2 linked regions of the Ovis aries genome follow. The protein of the gene in region 2 purifies or fractionates together with the protein of the main gene of each other region. This does not show direct contact. Links are inferred from orthologs where the notes say so. Each region holds a gene or a part of one and is shown on either strand. Other genes may lie near its edges.

The links.
Region 1: the proteins of RMND5B (region 2) and ARMC8 purify together in Homo sapiens (affinity purification with mass spectrometry; 4 studies listed by BioGRID and IntAct, with this or other methods). This does not show direct contact. The link is inferred for Ovis aries from reciprocal best matches to the Homo sapiens genes RMND5B and ARMC8.

Annotation. Positions count from the first base shown.
Region 1 is NC_056054.1:251,535,379-251,539,193, forward strand, and holds part of ARMC8 (armadillo repeat-containing protein 8), read right to left. Parts: intron 3,352-3,815; coding exon 3,280-3,351; intron 1,948-3,279; coding exon 1,805-1,947; intron 1,701-1,804; coding exon 1,603-1,700; intron 1-1,602. UniProt on the Homo sapiens protein: Component of the CTLH E3 ubiquitin-protein ligase complex that selectively accepts ubiquitin from UBE2H and mediates ubiquitination and subsequent proteasomal degradation of the transcription factor HBP1.
Region 2 is NC_056058.1:36,944,719-36,948,533, reverse strand, and holds part of RMND5B (E3 ubiquitin-protein transferase RMND5B), read right to left. Parts: intron 3,252-3,815; coding exon 3,151-3,251; intron 2,972-3,150; coding exon 2,805-2,971; intron 2,359-2,804; coding exon 2,193-2,358; intron 773-2,192; coding exon 670-772; intron 574-669; coding exon 419-573; intron 332-418; coding exon 268-331; 3' UTR 1-267. UniProt on the Homo sapiens protein: Core component of the CTLH E3 ubiquitin-protein ligase complex that selectively accepts ubiquitin from UBE2H and mediates ubiquitination and subsequent proteasomal degradation of the transcription factor HBP1.

The sequences.
Region 1 (3,815 bases), on a different chromosome or scaffold from region 2:
TTCCTTCCCCAATACTGGGCTGAGGGTTGGGGAAAAACTTCTAGGGTAAAGAAGATGAGTGATTGGCTTAATTTCTTTGTAAAAATGACAATCGGAAATCCTTAAGTAAACAGACTGATACTCAGATGGAGAGTTCTATATAGAATGCTGTGAGAATGCTTCCTCAATTTAGAAATGCTTACAGTAAACCAGTGGTTCTCAGAGAGTGGACCAGTAGCATCTGGTTTACCAGATACTAAAGTTTACCAGTTACTGGCAAACTTGTTAGAAATGCATATTCTCAGGCCCCATCCCACACTGACTGAATTAGAAACTCTGGAGGTAGGGGTCCAGGATTCTGTGTTTAATACGCTCTCCAGGTAATTTCGGTCCCTGCTCAAGTTTGAGAACCATTGTGGTAAATGGTCTATGGATTTATGAGCCATGGTTCCCCAAAGAATGTTACACAAATCCTCAAGGTATAAAATCAAGATGCTTCATAATTTAGCTCCCTGCTGTGTGAGATGACCCACAAGCCTCATTTACAGACCTTAGGCATCATTACAGGCCAGAGGAGCAAGTGTCTAATATAGGAAAAACAAACTCTGGAGGCACATGACATGTCCCTCTCCCTGCCTGCTTTGCCTATGCCTCTTGACTACTTATATTTTTGAAGTATTTGTAAAACATGACCCTGGACAAGATCTCCAATACATATGTGTCCACTTTGAAACTATGATTCTGCATCTCAGCTCAGAGAATCACAACCAGCATTTTTTAAAATGAAAAAGGATAAAATAGAAGTCAGAAGGCACCACATTTATGCAATTGTTTTGTGAAGACTATCTCAAGATATTCCCACCACCACTCTGCGCCCCCACCTCCCACCCCCCACACACAGTGTGGCCGTAGAAAATATAATTCTACTGTGAATTGTGGATAAGAGAGTTTAAAAAATACTAGCCTTGATAAATTTATTAAGAAAGCCCCAGATAAGCAACAGATAAAAATACACTCTAATAATCCCTGAAGTTTCTGAAAACCAATGAATGACTCTGAAGATCTTTAGATTCTCTCACATGTATTCTCTGATCCTAGCCTGGTAAGTAAGCCTCTAACAAGTGCTTCTGGTTCACCTTTTCAGCTGAAATGAACAATGATTCCCTTCCTGCATTAAACTATTCTGTCCACTGTCCTGCATATTCTCTTTTTCAAAGATGTGCCCTAGAACAGCTTCTTTTCTCTACACTTCTTGAAATCTTATCCATTATTCAAGATCAGGTCAAATTCTACCTTCTCCATAAAGCCTCCTCTACCAGATTTAACCTATAGTGAGTGCATTAAATGTGTTTCCTTTTAAGAAATTAAGAAAGGTCTTTACAAAACAAAAAACAACAAAAAACCCCAGCTTATAAATTTCTCAAGGTCTGGGACTACCTTTCACTGCTTTACAAAGCCTAGAACATTTGATATTTGCAAATTAGCAATTCAAATATTTCTTGAGACTTTTCTATAACATAGTTATCACAGCTAAGATCAGTTATGAGATGCTAAGCTAAGTAAATCAGAAGTATGCTGTTAGTAAAAATGTAACTTGATGATTGAAAAACACCTAAAACTCACTGTATACAGTAGTTCCTCTGGAGTGACGGGACTGGTGAAGATGGTGCGCAGGCATCGGAGGCAAGCTTCAATGAACTTCAGGTCTGGGGACAGTAGTCCTGTTAAGAGAAAACAGATTTGAGACTCATGCTTCCAACTTATATTTAAAACGCTGCAAACTGATTCTACTTTTTACCTGTATAAAAATGACTTCCTTACATACCTTGCAGTAAGGCAGGGATAATATGGCAATCTAGTAGAGACTTAACATTGTTTTCAGTACCCATAGCAAGACTTCCCAATACCACTGCACATTCAGTTTTCAATTCTGTGCTTGAGGTTTCTTGCTGAAGCAAGTACAATAATCTAAAAAGAAAGAACTTGATAAACAGAAGAGACTAAAAAACTTAAAAGTAAACATTAGCTAAAAGTAATGTTACAGAAAAGGCTACCAATACATCCCACACACTGAAAATATGGTAGGTGAGTTTACAGGCTGCTAGGAAATGGTCATATCTTTATATAAGCTGTTAATTTAATAAAGGAATATCGGCAGCGGGGAGAACCAAAAGAGATTTTCTTCTTTGTGAACAACAGAATTATCATACAATCTTAGTGTCAGAACTTCAAAATCTGAGAGTTGTCCACAAGCGATGTCCTGTAGAAACAGCCAGCACGACAGTCCACATTATCTGACACTTCAAGATATGAAGATTCCCAAAGCCAAGTGCTGGTGGATCTTAAGGACCCTGAATATCCACTACCACAGTTCAGAGATCACAGACATCTAGCCTAGAGGGAATACTCAGAGTCCTTGTGCAGCTCTTCAAACAAGGGAAGTTCTCTTCTTTCTCTGATTCTCCTATTTGGGGCATCAAAAGATCCTATTCTATTCTAGGCTAGCCTGTCAAAAAACTACTCCCCAAATTCCAATTGTCTACAACATATGACTATCTCCTTTATGTTCTAAGGTACATCCTTCATGCTCCCTAAAGCATATTTATATATACTGAGCACTAGTCCCCTAAGAAAGGCTGCTGACAGCTTTACAGTTACCAATGGTTGATTATAATAAAAACAACAAAACCATTAAACAATCCTACATTAAAAGACACGAAAGAAAAAAGAAGAAAGAAAAGCAAGACATTTAAAAATTCTGAATGAAAAATTTGTAACTGCACATAAAACTTAATTCTGGGTAGCAAAGGCAAAGAAGCAGTTAAACAATTATCACTGTCTGCCAAAAAGAAGCTTAATAGCTTCATCAGAAGACATGAAACTTTCTATGTTAATTTAAAAGCCAGCAAATTCTAAAAAGCAGGGTCAAAAAATAAATTTTTTTTTTAGTTTCAAAAAAGGTTTTGAGAATCCTAAGAAATTATTATCCCATCATATAAAAGTTGCCAGAGCTCTGAGGAGACCGGGAAGAATCAGGATGGTGTACATTGCTTATTTACCCAACGTGTCCTTTTATGGCAGGGTCAATGATCTTCCCAAACCTGTAAAAAGTATTCATATATTCCACTCCTTGGTATCTTAATTTTTTAAAAGAGATGCTTCATATACTTCAAAGCATTTATTAAAAAAAAAAAAAAGTAGGACAGACAATACAGAAAAAAGAAGGGTCTTATGACTGAGAATGAGAACACATCTGAAACTTCATATGAATAGCAGAAAAGGGGATAGTAGCAAACTTACCTTGGAACAGCTCCTAAAACAATGAGGTTGGCTTTCTGCTTGTTGTTTCCAATTACAGCATTTTTCATGTCTCTGAATTCAAGGAAAAGAGAAAAGGGTAAGATGTGTTGAGATACTAATTTATCTTTATTTTACAGCATCTTGGATTGTCAAGTACGGATGTTAAGTGACAAAGTAAAACCCTGACACTTCTCTGCTTGGAGTGCTAAAGAGACGGGACAGAGACAGGGCTGTGCAACCAGGGGCTATGAAACAGGAGGGCAGCAGTGGAGGGGGAGTGAGAGACAGCCTGAGAATCAGCAAAAGACTTTCAATACAAAGAAAGCCGAGTTCTTCAAAAAAAAGACCACCGATCCTTTGAATAATAAGAAATACAGGCTATCTTCTCATGCATAGCTCTGGGAGTAGGCAGTAAAAGCAGCCAGCCCAAGGAATAGACCTGACCTTGTTTCAGGGACCATGACTTTACTTTCCTCTTTTTCTGACTTCCTTGGACCGAATATTCCTGTGATTCCATTTTATCTCCTTTATTGTCA
Region 2 (3,815 bases):
TCAACAGCAAATATAAAGAGCAGGAAGCAGAGCAGGAGTACAAGACGCCAGTTTCCCTGCCGTTCATCAAGAAGCCAGCTGCCTGCTGTAGGCTGTCTCATCTCCCTCCTTGGCCTCTGCCAGAGGGCCGGCCCTGCTTGTGGTGGCACTCCTCAGCCAGTTGCTCTGAAATGAACCACAGTTCACGGAAGCCAACTACCCCCACCGAGACAGACCAAGGCTTGTGGGTGAAAGACCTCTTGCAACAAAGTTCCTCCCCAGCAGGAATCAGAATATGATGCGTTTCCCATCTGCTGGGTTCTGCTCCATGGGACAGTAGGGACACTTCAGCCTACAAAGGGAGAAGAACCAAGAATGTCTCAGGTGGCCAGCCAGCAGAAGAATCAACCTAAGGTGGGAGAGAACCCCAGGAACTTACTTTCCTCCATTAATGAGCTTGTTGAGTGCATCTCGGGAGATGACATGGCCACAGATGAGCTTGATGGGAGGGTTGGAATCTGACGTCTGCTGGCGGAGGATGGGGCACGCGAACACAGAGTGGTACCAGCACTTCATGCCGAGTTCAATCTCAATCTGGGGAGGCCAACAGTGGGGTGAGTCCCCCTTCCTGTGGCGCTGTCCTCCCCAGTGCTTCAGGCTGTGCCTCCCCCCCCCCACACTGGGCCTCACCGGTAGCTCGTCCTTGTGACTCCAGACCCCAGAGCACTGCCTCTGCTCCATCACAGCTTTGATATTCATCAGCACAGGCAGTGCCACACAGCCAGAGGCAAAGCTGCAGAACAGAGAGTAGGGGCTGGAGGGACCAGCCTGACCAAGAGCCCAGCAGACAGACAAAAGGCACTGCACGCTGTCAGTACATGACTCAGCACAGGGTTTCAAAGTGGCACTTGATCAAACCAGTCCTTAAAAATCTCTCAGGTCATGCAGAAAGCCACATACATGGTTCTGTGTCTCAACTCTAGAAAGTCATTCTAATGCACCCCAAAATTTGGACAAAAGGAATATCCAGGGGCCAGATACCTGTTCATCCACGGATACATCCTCGGTGTGACAGGGACACTAATGTTCGGAAGGGCCTCATCCTGCCTGTGTACCCCACTCTGTCATCACAGTGCACGTCTATAACTGGTTATCAACCAGGGCACTTAGAAATGGGAAAAAGTAGATTCAGTTTTCACTAGGATTGGGGTGGGGATGGGGAACCAACTGGCTGGAGCCTGGGGTGCCAAACCCCTACAATACGCAGAGCAAGTGTGCAAACAGAACCGGCCTAAGGTGCCCATGTTCGTGCTGGGGAAGAATGTTCTGTAACCAGAGTCCATGGGAAGAAACTGGAGGATGGAGCCTATCACGACTGGGCAGACAAATGCACCCCATGCGGTTCCACGGCCAGCCTAAATAAAATACACCACTGTATGTACATACACCACACATGTATATGTGGTGGGGTCAGGTCCAGGTGACCTTCATTCCCTATGAGGCCTTAGGAGCCTCTGTTTCTTCCTGTAAAATGAGGGTAACAGCACCTGTAACTCTTGGGTTGGTTTGAAGCCATGAGAATATTACTGTAAAGGAGCCGTCAAAGCGACAGCTCTCAGCACCTGTGACTCAGCTACTCAGTCTCCCTGAGGGAAGTGGTGTTTGAGACACGAGGTGGCCAGAAGGCTGGGCCGTCAGAGGGTCCTGTGATTACCCAGAGGTGAGGTGCAGGAAGCACAGACTTCATTCAAGAGACCTTACAAAATGGGAACCCTGACTCTGCCACTGACCTTGTGGTGACCCCAGGCCACAACTCTAAATCTGTTCTCCAGCTGTAGTGTGTGTTGAGTCACTTCAGCCATGTCCGACTCTTTGTGACCCCATGGACTGTAGCCCACCAGTCTCCTTTCTCCATGAGAATCTCCAGGCAAGAATACTGGAGTGGGTTGCCATTTCCTCCTCCAAGGCATCTTGCCTACCCGGGGATTGAACCCACGTCCCTTATGTTTCCTGCATAGCAGGCAGGTTTTTACCACAAGCACCACCTGGGAGGGGTACTAGAAAGAAAGGTAATTCCTACCTGGAAGAGTGACTGAGCAGCCAGTTTAGGTCTGTGAAGGCACCAAACACCACCCCTGGACAGGGCAGGGCCTTGACAAGTTGGGTTTCCCTCAGCCCGCCCACTTGTACTGCCCCCTCAGGGCTGACTATACCTGACACTGAGGGGTGACTCCACAGAAAGGCCCAACAGGGAACAAGCATCACGTGTAAAGGTCTCACAGATCTCGGCCCAATGGCTGTTGTCCAGGAGATGGCAGTAGGGTGACTTCTCCAAACCCAGCTGCAGGTACACCAGACTGCCCATCATCACCTGGATCTCTACAAGGCAAAAGGGAATCAGGGTGCAAGGAGGCAGCTTTTCTCCGGGCTCTGCCTCCAGCCCTCGGGTGGCAGGGCTGCAGAGGCAGTATGGGGGGCAGGCTGTGCCCCATGGCTCCCAGGCCCATGACCTGGCCAATCGATTAAAATGCCCTCTGGCAAAGCCAGTTTTCCCTAAAACCCAGTGAGGAAGTAAGGTTTCAGGGCTGTTTCTGTGGCAAGCATGACCGCACAACGTGACATAGGGAGGGGTTTCAGTTTCTTCCCCACCCTTCCAGCTGCGTCCAAGGAGCGGGTCTCAGGCTCTTGTCCCTCTGCTCCAGTACTAGCTAATCTTTTTTTTTTGGGGGGGGGGGCAGTGGGGGGGGCATGCAGTATAGCATGTGAGACAGAGCAGCATAAGGGAATGCATGTTGTAGGGGCCACCCCAGCACCTGGGCACGTACCACGCTGGTGCACGTGAGCAAAGGGCTGGAAGTGCCGGGCATAGCTGAGGGCCTCCAGCTGCTTCTCAGGGCCACCTGCCAGGAGACGGATGAACTGCAGTCGGTGCAGCTTGAACTCCAGGGAGCTATTGAGCTCCAGCAGGCGCTGCCTGTGGGAGACAGCCCACCTGGGGAGAAAGAGGCCAGCTGAGTGGGAGCTAGTAAGGCAAGAGAAGGGGGCTTGGCAGGGCCTCCAAAATCTTATGTGAGGCCCGTGAGACAGGACTGGAGGTGCGTCAAGTATGCTGGGTGACGCGAAGAGCAGACAAGCCCTGTCCCCTGTGGGACCACCCAAAGGCCAACGTACTCCAATGCTGGCCCCAGGTCTTGTTCATGCAGAGCTTCCAGGATACGATTCAACTCCAGGAAAGGCTGCTTGAAATCCAAGTCCACATTCAGTGTTGATTCCTAGAGGGAGAGAGAGCCATCTACCACTGGAGGACTGTGCTTCCAAACTTCTCTGCTCCACACCTAGTAAAACCTCATCCACCAAAGACAAGCCAGAGAGGGGCCATGGTCTCTTGCCAGTCCCTTGGACTCCTCTTTTTCCCAGTTCAAGTTCTGGGAGGCTGAGTGCTACATGCTGGCCTCCCAGAGGACAGACTGCAAACCCCACCCCATCTGCTGTGGTACTAGAGACCCACACTGAGTAGCACGGAGAGAAAATTACTCTTTTTCAATCCCCCTAATTACATTAAGGGAAAGCATCCTTTACTTTCACTGCCAGGGTGTCGTTTGACACCTAACAAGTACAACTTTGTCATTTTACTAGTCTTCCCTTTTAAGAAAAGGATTATCAGGCACTGAGAACTCAGGCGGACACCCAAATCCAGCTAGAAATTCATAATTTCACTTTGTACTGTATATATTTTGTAGCTATTTTCCATTTATGGCAGGAGCACTGATTTCTAAAATAAATTTAAGAAGTAACAAAAGCAAAACAAACAAGTAGGACTACATCAAACTAAATTT